Drosophila melanogaster: one gene and its partners. The protein of the gene in region 3 interacts with the protein of the main gene of each other region in a pairwise test. Each region holds a gene or a part of one and is shown on either strand. Other genes may lie near its edges.

Evidence for each region.
Region 1: the proteins of CG11350 (region 3) and gce interact in a two-hybrid assay, tested with the Drosophila melanogaster proteins (one large-scale study listed by BioGRID).
Region 2: the proteins of CG11350 (region 3) and CG11382 interact in a two-hybrid assay, tested with the Drosophila melanogaster proteins (one large-scale study listed by BioGRID).

Annotation. Positions count from the first base shown.
Region 1 is NC_004354.4:15,293,996-15,301,737, reverse strand, and holds the start of gce (germ cell-expressed bHLH-PAS), read right to left. Parts: upstream 3,973-7,742; 5' UTR 3,802-3,972; intron 3,702-3,801; exon of another isoform or gene 3,521-3,701; intron 2,730-3,520; exon of another isoform or gene 2,155-2,729; intron 1,230-2,154; exon of another isoform or gene 1,116-1,229; intron 1-1,115. Other genes in the region: CG5877 (uncharacterized protein), read right to left, coding at 5,185-7,401.
Region 2 is NC_004354.4:1,206,180-1,213,325, reverse strand, and holds CG11382 (uncharacterized protein), read right to left. Parts: upstream 3,357-7,146; 5' UTR 3,230-3,356; coding exon 1,712-3,229; 3' UTR 1,473-1,711; downstream 1-1,472. Other genes in the region: CG14624 (uncharacterized protein), read right to left, coding at 5,865-6,557.
Region 3 is NT_037436.4:4,479,792-4,486,831, reverse strand, and holds CG11350 (uncharacterized protein), read right to left. Parts: upstream 4,024-7,040; 5' UTR 3,989-4,023; coding exon 3,986-3,988; intron 3,921-3,985; coding exon 2,553-3,920; 3' UTR 2,462-2,552; downstream 1-2,461. Other genes in the region: CG13722 (uncharacterized protein), read left to right, coding at 1-1,423; CG7465 (uncharacterized protein), read right to left, coding at 5,457-6,419, 6,499-6,501.

The DNA of each region.
Region 1 (7,742 bases), on a different chromosome or scaffold from region 3:
CGAAAAAAAAGTAGTACCATTAGCTCGCTCATTTTGGCATTCCATTTCTCTCGGCTAACTTTCCCTGTCTTAAATTATGCTTGACTGCCCAGAGAATCTGACACATTTAATTGAAAATTAAATATTTAACTTAAAATGCCAAGTTATTCAAGTAGTGGACGTCATTTCTTGGGGTCGCCATCGGTTGGCGGTCGTTTTTATTGTCTAGGTTAGGTTATCAATTGCCGCTGCTTAGGTCCGCTTTCAGTACAGGTTCGGCTTTCCTTTTCCCGCAGCTTTAGAGCGTCTTGGCCCCTCCACAAAAAATACCGCCTGGCCCCTCTCCCCACCAGGCCCCCCTGCTCACATTTAAGCGACGAGCTTTTGACTCTCTATACCGCTTGGCCCGCTCAACGCTGAACGCTGAACGCTCGCCGCTCAGCCAAAGCGATCGCTCTTAGACGCGACGTCAGCAAAAAATTTGATGAGGGCGACAAGAACAACAAGTTAGAAAAAAAATAAATAAATATGTTTACATATACGAACTCGTAAAAAAATATAAAAGAAAGAAAAATGCTAGGGAAATTGACTGCATATTTTATTGTCCTTAAAAATGAAACAGACATCCAAATTATATGGTTTTTTTTTTAGAGAACTTATGCTTTGGCTATAATTTAAAAGCTACCCAATGTACCTATGGATTTTTTAAAATATTTATAAACTGCCTTGAGATTTGTACACTTATATATTTTTAACAGTTTCCCCCCTCTTTCAATTCACTTGAATTGCCAACATCAGCATGCGACGTAGAAATTAATTATCAAACATAAAACAAAACAAAAGCCAAAAAGTAACAGAGAAAATAATAAAAATGAAAAACATCCACACAAAAATCATCAACATCATCATCATCATCATCATAACCATCATCACCATCGGCAACAGCACACAGAAAACCTTGAGAGCAGCAGCAAAGCAGCCGAACAAAAAACAAAAATTGGAAAGAAAAAACCAAACCGAATAGCAAAAAAAAAAAAAACAGAAAAAAAACACTTTTATTGATCGGAACTCGGAACTGGTAAATCATTGAAAAATTGTTGCCAACAAATACCTGATGCTGGGCTATTTATATTTACTTTTATTGCTATTATCATCCAAAGCTCAGTTCCATCGCACTCTTTCCATGCTGCCCACAAGTTCAAGGGAGGCTAAGAACCCATCATAAAGTGCTCCGCCATATAACATCTATATTCATTGGAATCCGTTGATCTTCGCACACCCATTAAAGCGCAGATCTGGAATTTTGGCCATAATCACACTTCCCGCTTTCGTGCTTTTTGGGTATGCCGAAGTCGAGAGACTCGAGTTCTTCACGCTTGTTTTGTTTTTCTGTTTTTTCTTTTCTTATTAAAAAATTAAATAAGTCGAAAAAAGAAACTGGAAATTCATTAATATGTTAATTTTATTTGTCTTGCCTCATTGATTGTGTCGATGCGAATGTGATAGTTTTTTTTTTGTATGCATTTGTATGTGTTTGTGGATGGGCAAACACGTTAATGTTGGCTAAGCAGATTTTCGAAGGATGACAAACACAGACAGTGGGAATGTTTTTCGTAAATCGAAACTTTTCCCAACTCAACAAAAAACTGAATCGTTCTCGGGTTTCGATCGCGCAAAAATGCGCGCACGCGCCGCTGATTTCAGCACATATGCTCGTACTCGTAGGCTACACCATATAAAACCAATTCTCTGCACAAGAAAACATCGAAATCAGTGAACAAAAACGGAAATGAAACAGGATCACAAGAGTACCAAAAGTACTCTGATCAACAGCATCTAATGCCGCGCACTCAACAATACACCAACAACGGTTCACCAACAGCTGCTAAGCTCGAACGTTTCAACAATATTAATTTTGCGCTTGGTGGTTGGTCGGTTGTTGAAACTATATCTACACTCCAATGCACCAACGTAGAGCACAAAAAAATACTTGTTCAAGCTTGTTCAACAACACACCAACAGCGGTATTTAAGCCCCATTGGGCTTATGAATATACATACTAGTCGTATAATAGGATAATTGGAGTTTTTCATACACCAACGTTTGGTTGTTGAAACTGTCCAACTGGAAGATAGCCCTATAATTACTATATGATTTAAGGTCACCGCCATCTACCTTTTTGATAATATTTCCCCTCGAGCGCGTTTTTGGTTTGTTGTTTCAAACTTTTTTTTTTACACTATAGCACAAGCACTGGCACAAAACACACACACGCAAACAAAAAAAAAGGCGGGGGGGTTGTCAAAACGAAGTTTGTTTGTTGCCTGTTTTATTTCGGTTTTAATTCCTCGTTTTGTTTTTTATTTTATTTTTTTTTTCAACTTTTATATGGGGCTCTGGGGGGCACTGTTTGATAATCCAATTCCATTCGTTAACGCGGCGCCATTTACGTTGCTCGAGCGTGTTCTTTGCATTTTAGCAGCGGCGGCGACCACGAAAAAGGCAAGTTGAAAGAGAAGGAAACTCGCACAATCGCTCACACACGTACGCAGAGCCAAAGAAACATTCAGATACAAATGCGAAATACGAATATACTCATAAAAAAAAAATAAAAAATAATAATAAATACGAAACAGCGACGGCTGGCGAACCGAATTCGAACTCCAAGCTCCAAGCGAACCGAACGAACACCAAGCGGACCAAGCGAACGTCGCGACGCGTCCGTCCGTACCGCTACAGAAACAAAAATTAATTACATATATTGAAATCACAAACTAAACTAATCAGCCAGACGACGAGCGGAGCAGCGACGGCGGCAGCGGCAACGGCAGCGGAGAGCCGAGCCGAGCGCGAATCAGCTGCCCGGAAAGCTAACGCTCCACTCACGCTCCACTCCGCTCCCGCTCCCGCTCTAGGTGCCGCTGCCCCAAAGAAGCAGAAATGGCAGGGAAAAGAGCGTGAAAGATGAAATATACAATAAAAGCTTCGCTCGTCACCGACAGCGGTGCGACAGAGATGGCGATTGGCCAAACGCCCACCAGCAGCGAGTGTGAGCGAGAGCGCAGCAACAACCTGCGTTGGAAAGCTGGCGAGACCTTGACTAAGGTTTCCGGCCGGGAAACCCTCGGCGAGTTCATGCTCACCCAGTACACCGGGAAAAAAGAAAACGTTGCTAAAACTAGAGTTTTGCACAAAAAATCACTTGAATCTCCTCTGTTTATAACAATCTCCAAGGAAGCATTATATAATAATAATAATAAGCTATCAATTATTTTGATTACACTTATCTGTAATAAATTTAGTAATATTTGAGTTATAGATTTGGAAATCTGAGATAAAGATGCTTAAAAAATATGCAAACTGTCACGAATCGCATGCTCGCAAACTGGTTTTCCCCACATTTTCTAGCAGTGCACATTGACTCTCTGCGCTCTCTGTCTCTATCGTTTTCTCATTTTCTGAGTTTCCTCTCTGAAAAGCTTTTCCCCTTTGCTAGAGTAGAGCCGCAAAAGAAGGTTGGTGTTTAGTCTACGAACTTGACGCTGGCGTCTTACACAATGCTGCTTCTTCTTGCTTCTGCTCTACACCAACACAGAGACATCGCAGCACACACACCCAAACAGGAAGAGAAACACACACACACACACGACTTAGAACGGGGGAGCACTCTCAAAAAAATTACACTCGCTATCGAAACGAAATGGAACAAAAAACACTCGGCCGTTATAGCGATATATACATATATATATATATATGTATGTATATATTATTATATATGGATTGGCCTGATACTGGCCAGATATTCCGAGCTCTAGCACTAACCTAGGAACTGGAAACGGTCTGGAGTGCCTGGGAAACCTTGAGAGGAGACTCCGCCGCCATGAGACTAGGGACTACGGAGACGCCACTTGGCCAAACGGGCCGCTTCCACTGCAGCAACGGCCGATGCGGAGCGACAACGCGTCGTGGGACTTGGACAGATGCCGACCGACTGCCATCGATGAAGCCCGGTCCAAAGATGTCGGATGGGTGGACGAGCAGGCGAACAGACGGACGTGCGAATGGACAGCAGCCAGGACTCTCGCGCTCAGACAGCTTTCGATGCGTTTCGGCGAGCGGAGCTTTTCATCCCCACTACCCCTCTGCCCAATCACAGCGTTTCCTCTCCCGATTTCCACGCTTTTCCAAAGAGCAACAGTAACGCACAGGAGTCTTAAGTGGCTGGGCAGACAGGGCGCATACGCAACATTCGAGACGAGTCAACACTCAGCCACAGCCGTCTCGCTCGCGCTCACGCAACTTGGCCACCACACTTGCGGTCACACAAACAGATCGCATACAAAATATCAATCATTTTATCGTCAATATCATTCATGTCATTTAATACAAATCCTTTAATGTGTACATATTAAATCTAAATTTATCAATATTTAACAAGTTAGCTGTTAAAACTACTCATAGCTAAATAGGAATATAAATATTTTTATTTGTAATTTACAAATGTAGAAAACTTCTTAATTTCTTTTGCATATTTAAATGATTTAATAAATTTAAATAAACAGAACCATAAACTATTTGCAATATATTTTAAATTTCAGTAATATAAAAATAAGCTATTTGCAATATATGTTTCATTTCAGCGATATGAAAATGACATAACAAATATGTTGTATTTAGTTCGTCTCACAGCTTCCAGGTGCTACAATTGCGACCTCAGGTGCGCAGTGATTCTTTCGGCGCTGTTTTGGCTTATGAGTTTTGTTCGGTTATCTTGCGATAAACACAATCAAAATAATAAACACAAGAAAATGCTGGATTCGGGGGGAGCGGATTGGCCAGAAGATGAAGTTGGACTAATCTCCGACATTCGATATGCGACTCTGGTTTCCTTGCACAGCAACGAGCGATAAAGTGTTGGAATTTTTTTTTAACATAATCGAACGGCGAGTATTTTTGAGTAGCAAAATCGCTAATTCTGAATTTGTTAGTGAGCCAATTCTGATAAGCGATTTAGGATATATGTAGTAAAATATGCATGTACGCATATAACTGCAAACAGCTTATCGCAATTTCGCCAGTTAACTTAAAGTTGAAGCAAACTTCAGAACTAGATTGTTTGAAGAAATAAATATATTTATGATGCGAACTTATCGAGTCGCCCGAATGGCAAATAACCTCAAAACAAACGAATAAAACCAAAGCGACTTAAAAGCCCCTCAAGACGTCCACTTCCTCGGGCATAGCGAAAATGCGAATCTCTTTTTCGGTCATCAGGTCCTGTAGCGATGCTAGTTTCACTGGCAAAACCTTGGCGCCTTCCATCAGTAGTGACTTGTCCCAGGGACACTCGTCCATGGCCATTATAAGGACTTCTTTGCTGCGCCTAAACGAGGCATTCGTTTTGGATAGGGCAATCATGTACAAGCGCCAATAGATGGAGTTCCTGCGCAGTATGCGATAATGCTCTTCCTCCACATCCAAACGATCTAAATTGGTCGGGAGAAAAGTCTCGACAATGCTGACCAAACGATTGCACACCATCTTCCTTGTGGCTTCCTTTGAAAACTTATCGTTGGTATCTACGATTCCAAAGCGATTGTGAATCGCAACGACCAAGTGCGCCAGTGAAGCGATGCCGGCTTTGGTGCGTATGAGCCGGCTACGCTGCTTGTGCCACATAATCGATTTTAAGCTGGCCCACAGCTGTAGAAACACCATATTTCGTGGAAACTCTTCGAGTCCATTCTCGAGCAGTTCATGTAGCTTGATCTTTTTGAATCCAGTATAGAATTCAACTTCGCCAAATACTAAAAAGGACAAACGCAGATGTAGCATCTGTATTTCCATGATCTGCTCCCTAAGGAAACGCTTTCTTTCGCTGTCCTTGACGGCCTCGGGACCAAATTCGTTATTCTGCAGGTCATTGAGCCACATTCTAGCCTCCTTATGACGACGATTATTCAGCACTTCGATCAAACAGATAGCGCGCAAGAGGATGAGCAATTTGTTGGGCTGGAAGTACTCCTCCAAAGACATCTCAGCTGGCTGGGTATCGAGGGATTTCAGTTCCGCTCGCACCATTTTCTCTGCATTTCTCAGGCCTTTCAAAACCTGTTCCTTGGAGTAGACAGTTGTCTGCTTTACTCCGGCATGTTTTTCCAAACACAGTGAAACGAGTATGCCGATGGCCTTAGATATGCGGCCCCTATGTATATGCAATTCTGCACAAACTAAATAGAGATGCATTGTGTCCACGCAACTAATGCAGCTGGATTCTTCCGATTTTTTTGTGATGATCCTCGAAATTATGGAAAAGCCCAGTCGGTAATGCTTAGCCTCAATTTCGCACAAGGCCTGTTCCGTGTAGAAACTAATAACATTTCGGTTCTCCGTCAAATTGATCAGTTTGCGCATCCGTGTTCGTTTATCCTTAAAGAATTTTTTCGTTAGCTTGCCCATGGACTTGTGCAGCACTATTAATAGTTTTTGGAATCGCAAATACAGAATAAGCAACAATCGTCGCTTGGACTCCTCGCCGATAAAGACTTCGACGCATTTGAGTAGCATATTACTCACGGTATCCGCATACAGTTTATGGCCAACAAGATGCGGCATGTAGCTGGGCGTCACGGACATCTCTCTGGCTAAGTCGATCATGGCTGCATCAAATTGATATTGCAACGAAGCCACTGCATAGGAGTGCCTATCTACTATGGCAGCGAAAAGCATTTCAATGGCCTCAGACTCGCCGAAGTCCTCGATGCAAGGATTCAATTTGTCCGCCAAACTAGCGCTGCGAATCAGGGGCAATTTCATTAGTTGAACAACCACGAGCACCAGGTGCAGACGATTATTCTGCGACTTGAGTGCGTGTACATATGGGACAAGTTTGTCGCTGCAAAAGTATCGTTCGGCGTTCATCTTGTTTTTGAAGACATTAGTCGACGAAGCCAGCTTGTCTTTCAACGGCAGGAAGCAGTATGCCTGTCTGAGCTGCTCCACACGCGTCCAGATCTCGGGCATCGGCATTCCCGAACGCAGCACCACTTCCTCGAATCCAATCAATGCTTTTTCTCTTCCTGCATGTGCTTGTAGGCATTCGAACGTCAGGTAGGGGAAATTCAACTCCATAGACAAACGAATCAGAGCAAACATCCAGTTAGTATGGCCCGATTGGCGTAGGAATAGTAAGCAATTGTGAAAAAGTTTTAGCATTATCACATCAGTCTCCTTAATGATGAATCTTCGGGTTATTTCATCGTTGTGTCCCACATGCATGCGGCGCATGCTGTACTCGTAAATCCGGAGCACAGCGGACACGTTGCAACAAGCCATGTCGCCTTGGGTGATCATTATTAGGTTGCTCCACAGTGTGTACTGGAATGGGTTTCTCTTCAGCATTTTCTCGAATCGCCTAGCAACCTGAATAAAAGAATATCGTGTATATTGATAAAATATGTCGATTAAATGTTAAATGTTCTTTTCTACATACAATTCGTTTTATAAAAGTACTTGAAAAAATTTCACGCGATAAGCAAAAATTAAAGTGTTTTGTGTGAGAACCGGTAGAAAAATTTTAGTTCGTATAATTCTCACAAATTTAAAAAAAATATATCAGCTAGTCGCCTTTAAAGTGTGAATTGTAATGACTCTCTGGCCCTGACAGTATGTTTCAAATCTATTTGATCCCATTTACAAAATATTACCGGGTTACTATGATCCATACATACATATGGCTATTGTTTTTTCCCAAATATCATGTT
Region 2 (7,146 bases), on a different chromosome or scaffold from region 3:
ATTTCGCTGCTAATGTGCGAGCAAATTTGACCCACGCCTTTGACTGCTCTCGATTCCCCAGTTAATAGATCTATCATCAGCCCACCGATTGCTGTCCAATGCAGCTTATCAACTCAACCCCCCCCCCCCCCCTCTGCATTGTTCACATCTGTCACATTTGCAGCCCTTTGTTAACTGTCATACGAAACTATCTAATTTATTGCTGCGGCCGGCCTTTCAATTGTTGTGGCTGACTGAACTTGTCGACACAGTTAGGCTTCCAAGAAAGAAAGAAAGAAGATTGCCCGCGGGGGCTTACATAACACCTGACCCTGCCCGAAAATATATTTTTGGGGGATTACCTCAGCCCCAGTCCGAGTGACTCTCTGACTTTAGTGGTGTGACCCCAGCAGGGAACCGGAACCCTCCACAAAGGCCTTCCATATACAGCCGCCTGTGGAATATGTTCTATATCTCGAACTATATCGTCTCTGATCTCTAATGTCTGATTAGCTTGGCCGCTCCCATTCACAGAAATAACTATTTCCCACCCCAGGGGGTCTGAATGGCTCAGTACAATGAGTTCGAGTCAGGTTGGAAAACCATGGAAAACTATGCAGATCTGTTTCCTTTTCTTCCTAAGCCACGTCTCGCTGGGCGAACTCTGACCACTTCCGCAGCGAATGTGATTCTCAATCAGGCGCTCAAGTTCACTTCTCAGCGTGGGTCAAGTTATCCAAGAGCCTTCCAGATGAGGAGATTATGATCATGATCATGATCACTAATCCGATCCGATTTGAGACGAGGCGATCAGAGCCCATCAAGCTGTCATCCTTTCACTTTCGCTGTGTCTTGTGTACTTTGATGTAGGTCAGCGACTTAAGGATCAAATGCCCGAACTGGTCGAACCGCAAAGATTGCGCAACAGAGATTGGAATGGAAAATGGGATGAAGTTGAAGTTATGATTAACATGGAAGCAGAGTGAGAGGCGGCGGCCAGTGCGTTGACCATCCATCACGCGGCGGTGAATGGTGCAACTGGGGGATAGGCAAGCGGAACCAGCGGATGGCATCCACTTGATCGCATTTGTGAACACGTTGTGAACACGTTGTGAACTCAAGACGCCTCCTTTTAACTTGTATTCTAATTCAGCAGGTCTAATTCAGTTAGCCTGGGCAGCCCAAGCCCATTCGACTCATTGCCATGCCAGCGTCGTTTTGGAAGCTCCACTCCCTACGCTGCTCCACGCCTCCCACGACAGCCGTCCACTCTTTAGTTTGATATAGTTTCACGCATCAAATGCGAATCACAATTTTTAAGCGAAATCCGAAATCGAACCAATTTGTAACCACAAATCGGAGAGAAACTGCCAAAATCTGCGACGTGTGCGGCATTCCAATAGCCTGGAATCTATCCAGTTGGTAGGGAGGAGCCTCCGCACACGAAGAGAAGTTGAGAAAGTTCCATTTCGCTTTTAAAAAGAAATCATTTTCATTTGGCCTATTAAGTGGCTTCATTTTATTGTAAAACCCATCAGTTTGTACTGCTTAGAACTTTCTTTCCACATAACTATCTCACTTGCAAATACTCTTTCTTCCTTCCTTTTCAAATTGTTTCAACACTGTGACTCTTGATTTCTTGATTTTTATTGTTCCATCTTGGCTTGCAGTACCAAATAGATAGGGATAAAAAAATACATTGGACGCTAGAGCTTAAAACTAGTTTAATAATTTAGTGGTAACCATGGGAGGACGCGGCCGTTGGGCCGTAGCTGCTGGCAGGAGGCAGGTAGGTCGCCTCCGGTTCGAAAATAGGCGTGGCCGAGTCCCCGGAGTGGCCGGGTGGTCCGTATAGTTGCGCCGGAGCCTGGTAGTCATAGCCTGGCGAAGAAGGAGCCTGCAGGAATGTGGAGCTGGGCGTGGCGTAGTCGTAGCCGGAAATGGAATTCGATCCGGACTCGTGCTTGGCCCCTAGAAAGGCACTGGGCCTAAAAGGCGCCTTGGAGACGTCTAGGTCGTGGCTGGGTGCTCCGGACTGGACGGAGTGGTGGGCAGAGCTGAGAACGTCGGTGTGGAGAGCCTGTGGCTTGCTGGCCGTGTAGCTGAAGTGACCCAGGCCCTTGTGGCCCAGAGCATAAACCGGTGTTTCCCTCTCCTGCTCCCGATCGCCCTTGTGCTCCTGCTCCAGCACCTGCACTTGCACTGGCTCCGGCAGTGACTCCTGGTGATCGTAGCCGGGTATGAGTGGTACGCCGTAACTGCTCAACGGCACTCCCTTTCCAAAAGGCGTGGCGGGAGCATCGTAGGAGTACCCAGAATGCTCCTCCGCCGGCTGGGGCAGCGCGTGCTGTGGGAACTGTCCTCCCGAAGAGTGACCCAATCCCAGGGCGTGGCTCAGACCGTGCTCCAAGGCATGCTCCAGACCGTGATCCAAACTTTGGATAGGTCCGTGACTGACTGGTTCATGGGCGATGTGATGGCTGGGGCCATGGCCAAAGTTGTTGCCATAGCCGTGACTTTGCAGGTGGCCACCGTAGCTGGGTCTGTGGGCTGGTGCCGATCCGTAGCCAATTCCGTGGGTGCTGCCCCTCGCTCCGTGGCTGTGTCCGGAGTACTCGGGAGTGGCCACCACATATGTGCTGGTCTTGTGTTCATTCCCAACGAGATTCAGATAGGCTCCACTGGTAGATGGTGCGTACTTAAAGGCCAATCCAGATCCATGCCCGTGACTCAGGCCGTGACTGATTCCATGACTGATCCCGTGACCGATTCCATGTCCATGTCCCTGACCATGGTAGTTGTGACCGGAACTCGAGCCGCCACTTGTTTGAACGATGTAGGTTTCGATTTTAGGAACTCCACTACCGCTGTAATGATGGGGCCTTCCATGGCCACTGGAACTGGCGTAGCCGTGGCTTCCGGAGTGTCCGTGTGCGAAGTGGTGTCCGTAACTGCTCTCGCCCTTGAAGTGACTGGGGTAATCGGAATAACCAGCCGAGCTTCCATGGAAACTGCCGAGGTTAAGGTGACTCTCATAGGCGGGCGGCAGATATTTGTGAGAAGGGCCGTGATAGCTGGATATTCCTCCGAAACTTAGGCCAGCATCTCTTTTTGGCTTAGCGGAGGATGAGGTCTCAGCCGAAGATGAAGCGGGCTTTGAAGAAGAAGCATCGGCAGCTGGAGAAGATGAGGCGGCTGCCAACAAAAAGAAGCAGCAGCTTAGCACAGCGCAAGCTAACGGTAGTTTCATGCTCAAGTCACAGCAAAAATCACGGAAAAAAAAGTGAATTTAACGGTTATCCTTCGATCGTGTTATCGGTTATCCTTGTTCCTCACGTTGGATCCGGAGTATAGAACGAGACGAGACGCGACTCTAATCGCTGCCGTTGGCGTTATGTTGACGAACTCTGTGAGTGCCGACCCTTTTATACATTTTAAAGAAGCCACTTCAAACTGCAAGAAACTCGGTTTTTGCCTTTGCCTCTTGCCATGCTGCTCTCTTGGCATTCTCTTTTTGTCGCTCTCACGCTCACGCACGCGAAAAACAACGGTATTTCGTGTGTGACGCCGACTCCGACTGCGCTGCAGCCTTTCTTCATTCCCTCACTCTTAGTTTCGTTTGCGCACAGTGGGTTAAATTCACGTGTGCATAAATATTCAATGGTGTGACCTAGCTCCTTAAAAATACATACGACTTGAACAAATGTATACAAAATAGATTTTCTTGATAACGCTATACATTTAATTGTCTTTTAGATTCGAAAAATAAAGAATTTAAAACATTAATATTTAAAACTATATTACAGCATTATTCGAATTAAAAAACGATTTAGATTTCCAAGTCATAAAACTGTTACGGTTGCACATTCACTGTTCTCAATGTTCTCAAACTGTAACGACATCCTTGCTCTCTCTCTCGCGCGAAGCTGTCGCTTTGGTTAGTTTGATTTGCGATCAGCGTGTGCAACTTACATATATTGTATGGGCTCCGGGAAATGTGTGCCAGGGATAAAAGCATTTACTTAAACTAAACAAGGAACACGTTTGTACAAGTTGTGGCTGAAATAGTGATATTTACGAATTCATAATTTTGTTGCGACTTGCGGAATATAACGGCTCTCTAGCGATCGCTTTGGTTCATCTGAAATATAGATAACTACGCATTTGCAACTTGCTCAAGGCTTGTGGATTATAACGGTTCTCGCGTCGGCTTCGGTTTCCCCCGCGCCCCGCGTTTCATGAAGCAGGCAGATGAAACGAAAGGCGTAAAAGGAGAGTGCAAGTTACCACCTAGTGATGGAAAAGGGTCCACGGTTTGTGGAAAGAAGTGGGCATCGTCTGTGGATCCTGGGCAAAACAAAGTGAGTGAGTTTTTGATTGATACTTACAGTTTTTGTACATACGTATGTACAATATATTCGATATAAAGATCAGTATTATATTATAATATTATATATCCTTATATTATAAGCCTGTTTGGACTTCAATTTTCAATAGCATTTTTACCCACTGTGCGAGTGTTACCACTCAAGTTCAAGTGACACTTTTAAAAATCACATGTCTGCTTACCACGCCCCTTGCCATCTTGCCATTTTGGCCCTGTTGTGTTCATGTTTCTTCTCACTTCCTCCTCCTCAGCTGGCTCACTTACATTTCCCCAAAAACAGCTTAGTTTGTGCGTAAATTGCATTTAATTTACAACAACCCGTATCTTTCTCCTCTGGTATCCCTTCTTCCTCTTCTTGGGTCTCTCTTGTGCACCCTACTTCGCCTCGTAATTGTTGCTGTTTTCCCAGGTGCGCGATTTTTTTTTCGAAATTCGAAAAGCGATTTGTTTTGCTACCGTTCGGGATCTTAATTTGGGTCTCTGCCGCAGATGATGATGATTTGGCAATAGTTTGAGGTATGTTAGTGCCCCTTTGACCCCGACCCCTCTCTACGGCACCGGTAACCCATGGCTACTAATGGACTTGGCCCGAAACCTTTGCGATATATCTGCATGCAGCCCACGACCATGGAAGATAAATGATGTGCACCTTGCCGGTCTTGCTTGTGTTGTCGTCAGACGGCCTTCAAGGGCAGTTCTTCATCACAGTGGAATTTAAGCCCATACATGTCGAGATTAGTAACTAAGAACTTGGCATTTGGACATGCAAATCTATGACAGAACAAGCTGATTCCAATTTCGGAATTGGTGTACATACAAATATTACCATGAAAAAATTGAGAGAATCCTCCTATTAGAGGACTCATTTGAATGTAATGGTAATGGTAGTGAACACATTGTATACAAGGTATCCTTCCGGGCTTTCGACTGGTCTGGTAGGCGTGGTTAGTTGCTGCCGGTACTCCTCTAGGCCCGCTTCTTTGGTCAACAGTCGTGTGCCACGGCTGAGATTTTAGTTGATGTAATTGCCCGCCAGCCGCTAAGACTCCGCCCTTCAGACAGTTGCGCAATCCGCTTGCCAAGGTCACACCTGCCACGTCGATCGAGTTATAATTTCACCGATTTGCGACTTGTGCGAGACGATTGTAATTGAGGCATTTGAAAGTGGCAACAAATTGCCAGACATACAACAGCACAGCCCGCCCATGGCAAAAGTCGGCCGCCTTCAAAGACAGCGGTCTCCCGGAGTGGGGGAGTCATCCCCAGCATTTCATTACCCAGAGACAAAGCTGCGCTTAAATTTGCCATGGGAAATGAACCTGTGGGTTTGACTCGGATTTTGACTTGGGCTGGGTATCCACATACAACTCCACAAACTCACATATGAAGAGCCTGACTTTTCTTCACGTTATAGTTTCTGATTGTACTGATTGATATTTGGTATTCAATAGCTTAGGAACTAACACAAAGAACGAGACATTTATGTTCACTCTGTAACCTAAGTTCTTACTAGATTATAGGCATTACTAGGCGATAGATAGACGTAGCCCCTTGGGTGCTGCGATCCCTCCGCCACTGGCTTATTATTATAGACATGCTCATGGAAGGTCGGCTCCTCCAGTGTCCGCTGCGACGTTTGCTCTGGCATGCCGTTGCCCTGCCCTTGGGCTATATGTTCATCTCCGTCATCCGTGTATCCGGCGAAGGGCGAGGGCCTGAAGGGCAGGCTAAAATGTCCAGCCTGCGGAGGAGGAGCTGACAGTGGCTGGGCCTGCAGTTGAGGAGTAAATAAGCCCACCAGGACGGAGGGTTGCTGGTATTGCTGCGGATATTCCTGCTGGTATCGCTGTTGCTGGTATTGCTGCGGATATGCCTGCTGGAATTGCTGTTGCTGATGTTGCTGATATTGCTGCGTCTGCTGGCGTTGATCCTGTGGAACTGGAGGAAAGGTCTGCGGGCCCGTGTAGCCAGGACTCAGTTGAGCCAGCGCCGTCAGAGAAGGTAGTGAAGGACTGGCTGTTGGCAGGATCAAAGGACGCCAGGGCATCGAGTACAGCCATGGTGGGTGGAGTTGTATCCCCGATACCTCCTGCTGGTGGAATTGCTGCTGCTGCTGGGCGTTCATCAATGCAAAACAGCTGATTAGGCTGATCAGGCTGACCAGGATGTCGAGGTGAAAAAACCTGAACATGCTGCTCAATATGGTTGTCTGTTGCAAATGCTTGCAGTGGCCCTGACGCTTTGGGCATATATAAGAAGCCACCCCGATGTCATTCGATACCTGTGGTTCCGCTGAAAGCGATACCTTCCACTTGCAACTCTTCCTCCTAGTTGCGTAACCTGGTATCTGCTGCCGAAGCAATTATCCAATTGTCCGATATCGAAACGCCCAAATTGATTAAAACTCTTGTTGTTATTAAACCTAATTCTGATTAAATGAACTTTTTGGCTTTTGGCGCTTACGAAACCATTTTGCAATGTTGCAAGTTCGAAAATTGCTTTCGCCGTCTTTTGTGGGATCAACAACCCGTGTAACTGAGCCGGGGACTTTTGGTCTTCGTCGCCCTTCGAATGCAAAATTTTCCACTTCAGGAACTTGCCAGATTAGCTGCCGTGCTGCACAGAAAAAATTGCTATAACATGGTCATAATCAACATGAATTTCTTGCGTTCAGTAGCCACAAGAGATCGTAATGTTTTTTTCTGTGTAGACGTTTTCCCCGTGAGGAATGTGCGACACTTGACGTGTGGCCTAAGATTTAATAGTGAAGTTTATTGGTG
Region 3 (7,040 bases):
CCCACCACCCACCAACCCACCACAGAAATACCTGCCTCCCGTTGTGCCAACCAGCCCTCCTGTGCCAAAATACGTTCCCCCACCTACACCTACCTACATTCCACCACCACCAAAGAAGCAAGGATATGACTATCCCAAGCCCGCCATTCCATTCCCACCACCCACTGCTCCTCCGCAAAAGTATCTGCCTCCTGTGACCACAACCCAAGCACCACCTCCTCCACCGCCCAAGTACCTGCCGCCACCTCAGGTGAAGCAGGGATACGACTATCCCAAGCCTGCTATTCCATTCCCTCCACCAACTGCTCCGCCACAAAAATATTTGCCACCTGTTACCACCACGAAAGCTCCTCCACCACCACCTACTGTCAAATATCTTCCTCCACCACAAGTGAAGCAAGGTTATGATTACCCAAAACCCGCCGTCCCTTTCCCACCTCCCACTAACCCACCACAGAAATATCTGCCGCCTGTTGTGCCTACGACTCCACCACAGCCGAAGTACTTGCCACCTCCAAAGCCAACAAACCCACCGCAGCCCAAGTATCTGCCACCCCCACAGCCTAAGTCCGGCTATGATTACCCAAAACCCGCCATTCCATTCCCACCACCAACAAACCCACCACAGAAATACTTGCCACCTGTTGTGCCCACGTCTCCACCACAGCCCAAGTACTTGCCACCTCCTAAGCCAACAAACCCACCGCAGCCGAAGTATCTGCCACCCCCACAGCCTAAGTCAGGCTATGATTACCCGAAGCCCGCCATTCCATTCCCAGCACCTACTAACCCACCTCAAAAGTACCTGCCACCACCGGTAATTCCCACTTCACCACCAGTACCAAAATATCTGCCACCTACAAACCCACCAACGCCCCAGTACTTGCCTCCGGTGCAGGTGAAGCAGGGTTACGACTATCCCAAGCCCGCCATTCCATTCCCGCCACCCACTGCCCCACCGCAGAAGTACTTGCCACCAGTGACCACAACACAAGCACCACCTCCACCTCCTCCCACATCCAAGTACCTTCCTCCACCTCAAGTTAAGCAGGGCTATGACTATCCCAAGCCCGCCATTCCATTCCCGCCACCCACTGCCCCACCGCAGAAGTACTTGCCACCAGTGACCACAACACAAGCACCACCTCCACCTCCTCCCACATCCAAGTACCTTCCTCCACCTCAAGTTAAGCAGGGCTATGACTATCCCAAGCCCGCCATTCCATTCCCCCCACCCACGAATCCCCCCCAGAAGTACATTCCACCCGTTGTGCCAACCAGCCCGCCCACTCCCAAGTACCTTCCACCCCCTCAGGTGAAGCAGGGTTACGACTACCCTAAGCCAGTCATTCCATTTCCCCCACCCGCTCCCAAGTCGGCGGGCTATTCCTACCCGAAGCCGGCCATCGCATTCGACTTTTGAATAACTCATCCGTCGATTGGCCCTCTCATCACTGATTAAATGACACAATTGCCTCTGTGTGCGCATAGTGATCCTTAGGAACGTACGAAATTGAATAATTGTAGTCTACTGTAATATTTTATTTAATAACTATTATTAATGATTTACCGGGGATCTTGCCTGCGGAATCTCCAATCGAACTTAGTCATTAAAATATGTTTTTAAAACTTATGTTTTAACGATTACGCAATGCTGCCGAATTAAAAATGACAATGTGAATGTTATGTTCTTACTGTTTTCTTTCAGTGTGTCGAAGGGTAAGACGTCTAGTCTTAGAGTGAAACAGCAGATCCCATCTAGAATAAACTAAAAATTCGGTCGAATCACATACTTTTAGACATCGCAGTTTATAGTGCTGGCTTGCCGAAAAGTAGAGTACATTTGGGCAACAAGAAATTAATAATTCTGCTCAAACTTCGGTAACGCGATAGCATTGGAATCATTCAACCTGCTATTTTTTAGCCGGAATAACAAAAGTCTTTCTGTGATACGGATATAATGCTATACATTGAGGCTTTTTATATTACTAAGATAAATTTTTTAATAAGTCTGCCTTACAAAATAGATCCATAATTCACTGGGTTTTTTTTAACTCTGTAGTCTGCCGCGAGGGACTTACTACATAAATATACACTTACTATATGCTTACTACATCCATATAAATCTTACAAAGGCCAAAAAGTATGCCTCGAATTTTCTTATGGTTGACTTTGAACTTGAAGCTTCAGATGACAATGCACTTGCTGAACAAAAAATTAATTTCGAAGCATTAAACGAGTTTCCGCATCTCGATTTGAACTAGTTTTTTCAGTTGCTGTATCGTCTCCGCTTGACGACAGCTCGGTATTAATGCCTGATAATCATTGGCTTTAGTGGCCAAAACTTCTTATTCTATTATGCAATATTATTGTTAGGCAAATAAGGGGGCTCCCGTCAATGGGGTTTCCTGTTAGTCGATTAATTAATCAGGCAGTGGAAGTATTTTTCAATATTTTTTTTATTTATGAATTTATTAATTTCGTTTCCCAGATGAAACCCGTGAGTCAAATAACAGGATTTGGCTCGGTTCGCTGGGGGTTCGTTGGAGCCTCTAGTAACGGTGACGGCGGAGGACCACGCGACGCTGGGTCTTGTAGCGGTATCCATCGTTGGAGGAGAAGGAGTGGGCGGGCTCAGAGGCGGCGGTCTCGTAGCTCTCAGCTGGGGCAGAGTAGGAAGCAGCTGGGGCGGAGTAGGAGACAGCTGGGGCGGAAGCGGCACCGCTGTAGTACTCGGGAGCAGAGTAGCTCTGAGAGGGAGCAGAGTAGGAGACAGCTGGAGCGGAAGCAGCAGCGGTGTAGGTGGCAGCAGGAGCAGAGTAGCTCTGGGCAGGTGCGGCGTAGGACACAGCTGGGGCGGAGGCAGCAGCGGTGTAGGTGGCAGCGGGAGCAGAGTAGCTCTGAGCGGGGGCGGAGTACACTGGAGCTGGGGCAGAGGCTGCTGGAGGCAGGTAATCGTTGGAAGGCAGGTGGCTCACATCACGACGGTGACGGCGGAGCACCACACGCTTGTGGGTCTTGTAGCGGTATCCATCGTTGGAGGAGAAGGAGTGGGCAGGAGCAGAAGCAGCGGTTTCGTAGCTCTCGGCGGGCTCGGCGTAGGAGACAGCAGGTGCGGAATAGGTCTGGGCGGGAGCGGCGTAGGACACAGCTGGGGCAGAGGCAGCGCTCTGGTAGACTGGAGCGGGGGCGGAAGCTGCTGGGGGCAGGTACTCACTGGTTGGGGCAGAAGCGGCTCCCTGGAAGGGGGGCAGGTAGTCGTTGGAGGGCACGCCACGACGATGACGGCGAAGGACCACGCGCTTGTGGGTCTTGTAGCGGTATCCATCGTTGGCCGAGAAGGTGTGGGCGGGCTCAGAGGCAGCGGTCTCGTAAGACTCAGCGGGAGCGGAGTAGGACACAGCTGGGGCGGAAGCGGCAGCGGTGTAGGTCTGAGCAGGAGCAGCGTAGGTCACAGCTGGGGCAGAAGCAGCAGCAGTGTAGGTGGCAGCAGGAGCAGAGTAGCTCTGGGCAGGAGCGGCGTAGGACACAGCTGGGGCAGAAGCAGCAGCAGTGTAGGTGGCAGCAGGAGCAGAGTAGCTTTGGGCAGGAGCGGCGTAGGACACAGCTGGGGCAGAAGCAGCAGCAGTGTAGGTGGCAGCAGGAGCAGAGTAGCTCTGGGCGGGAGCGGCGTAGGACACAGCTGGAGCAGCATAAGACACCGCTGGAGCAGAAGCAGCAACGGAGTAGCTGGACTCAACGGGAGCAGAGTAGGAGGCAACTGGGGCCGAGGCCTCTACGCTGTAGCTCTGGGAAGGAGCAGAGTAGGAAGCCACGGGAGCCGATGCTGCTCCACGGCCGGGGGGCAGGTACTGGCTAGATGGCAGGTGGCTGACATCAGCGGCCACGGCGGCGATGAAGGCGCAGAACAAGAAGAATTTCTGCAATGGAGAAAATGGCACATATTAGCTGATTATCCTAATGGCGCACCGTTCCTGGTTAATACCATTTTGCTGGGTGCTCGGCTGTCCAGTTGAACGGAGAGTGCAAGTGGAAGTGATGCCTTAGACAATGTTCTGCGGCTTATTTATATGATTCTAATCACCGGCCTGCGGCGAGAAATTTGCATTTGACTATTTAATTTATGAATTTGTATTTAGTGACACCGCCAAAACATATCCATTATAGTTTTGCAAGCAGGTTTGCAACGGGTTTTGCGCTCTGCTCAACTCCAGCGAGATCATGAGCCACGATTTGGGAGTCCCCCTTTCACCCCCGGCCTAACCGCCAAATCATCCAAACGGCCACTTAATATTTTAAGTATATTTCGTTAATACTTAGTGGCCAAGATCAGGTTCCATTGTTCCCCTATCCGCACTTGCCAATTTCTCCCAGACCAAACGCGTGCCAATTTCGATTCCCAATTCCGACCCACCCCAGCTCAATTTGCTTAATTGTCGATAATTATATTGTGGCTTAATCAACTGGTACTAATCGGGTTCTATGACTTCGGGTAATAAAAGCAGATGTTCGATAGCGGAGCGGAGAAAAGGCTAAAAACAGTTGGTAAGAAGCGAAATGACTGCCGAAAAAGCAATCAAATTGCGGAAATAAATCACGACCTCAATGCCGAAACAATACATAGATGTGACTGTCGAAAGCGATTGTATATCACCGGCTGAAAGAAAACCTGAACAAAATGAACTGAATACACTTTTGGAAAAATTACCTTTTATGAAGAGTCGAAGGAAAACATTAATAAAACGGGGTAATTAATTCTATTCCTCGAACTAGATTCTGCTAACAAAACGTTTCTATATTTAATTGCAAATCGTATATAAATAATATATCCACTATAAAATAACATTTTAATAAATTACATAAGCGTTTAGGTCATAAAAACCTATTAAATTAATAACGGCATATTAAAAAGACACACCATCCAAGAAAGTTAACATACCCTTACTTTTGTAGGTAAATGGTCTAAAAGCGTTAAGCAGGCTTGAACTTTTTGAAGATGAGATTGCGGAAGCTTCGGCATAAATAGATTTCAATTTCGATTATGTGTCAAGTGTATATTGCTTCTCTAATCCCACGTTCTTATGTGTATAATTAGATCGTGAAATAATGAATATATTCTAGCCCTAAAACCTTTTTATATTATTACATTAAATTATTATTTTTAAATAGGTTAATACATGTTTAAAAACTTTGTCGTTTTTTATTATTCTCTGGTTTATATATTATCCGCAAAGATTTATGTTTTATCCGAATATATTCCTCCTTCAGTCAATTCTATACATATAACCTTTTATCACCCAGCTCGTACACCCAACATAATAAAATTAAAAAGAGCTGAATGTATGGATTCGTTATCGTATTATTGTATTTGAATGAAAAAGAGGTATTCTAATAGTAGGGTCTGCACTCAAAAATGAGCACAATTCGATCACCTAGTGAAGCCTTTATCGGATGATTTAGTGGCGGCGCAACACAACGCGCTTGTGGGTCTTGTAGACGTATCCATCATCAGCCAGGACATGGGCGGGAGCCGCCTCGACGGTGTTTTCCTGGGGGGCAAGGTACTCGGCAGAGGGAGCAGACTGCACGGGAGGCAAGTACTCGTTGGAGAGCTCGTTCACATCACGACGGTGACGGCGGGTTACCACGCGCTTGTGGGTCTTGTAGCGGTATCCATCAACGGCCAAGTCGGTCTCAGGAGCAGTCTCAGCGGGAGCCAGGTACTCGTTGGAAGGAGCTGCGAAGGGGGGCAGGTACTCGTTGGAGAGCTCGTTGACGTCACGGCGGTGGCGGCGGTAAACAACGCGACGATGGGTCTTGTAACGGTAACCGTCATCGGCCAGCTCATGGGCGGGCTCAGCCTCAACCACGACAGGAGCGGGGGCGGCCAGCTGGACAGGGGCGGCGATCTGAACTGGAGCGGGAGCTGGGGCAGCAACCTGGACGGGGGCGGACACTGGGGGCAGATACTCGTTGGAAGGAGCAGCAGCCTGGACTGGGGGCAGGTACTCGTTGGAGGGCAAGTGGCTCACATCACGACGGTGACGGCGGGTTACCACGCGCTTGTGGGTCTTGTAACGGTATCCATCATCGGCCAAGATGGTCTCAGGAGCACCCTCAGCAGGAGCCAGGTACTCGTTGGAAGGAGCTGCGAAGGGGGGCAGGTACTCGTTGAAGAGCTCGTTGACGTCACGGCGGTGGCGGCGGACCACCACGCGCTTGTGGGTCTTGTACCGGTAGCCATCATCGGCCAGCTCATGGGCGGGGGCAGACTCGGCCTGCACGGGAGGCAGGTACTCGTTGCTGGGTCCGGCGATGATCTGCTGCTCCTGGACGGGAGGCAGGTACTCGTTGGAGGGCAGGTGGCTGACATCGGCAGCCACGGCTGCGATCACGGCAAAAGCGACCAGGAAGAGTTTCTGCAAGAGACAGTTGGGAAATTTGTTTAGTTTAGTCCTTCAGTGGCGATTCGATGGCTCCTAAATTGTCGAATCGTACCATATTGTCCGATGAGTTGCTTGTTCACAGCAGTAAAACCGAAACTCTAATGAGGAATACGCAGAACCTTTTGGTATTTATACAGATTCTCCGCTCTTCGCTGGCTATTACAGAGCTGGCGTTTTTTGCGCCTCTGCCCAAAAAGACGTCGCTGCCGGCGCAAGCGTCTGTAAATTCGCACGACTTCGGCTTTGGTTTGGCTAAGCTACGGGTTCTAAGCCGCTCTTTTGCGGCTCAAACGCAGCTTGGCCAACACGATAGACGGCGACTGCGACGCTTACATTCGCACAAGCTATAGCTTCGGAGCAGTTGATGGCTAAAAAAAAAATGTTTAATGGCCAAAATCGTTCGCACGGATTCTCTTAATTGTTTTATTTAATCATATGCAAAAGATTTGATGGACATCAACGTTTTGGACAAGTCGAGCGCGCAAAGATACTCACATACAAATATATATAAACATATACATATATCCGTATTAACTTGGCTCTCGTCTTGTTTACACCTCTTTGTGTTCGCTCCACCTGCCTGGTTTCATTCAA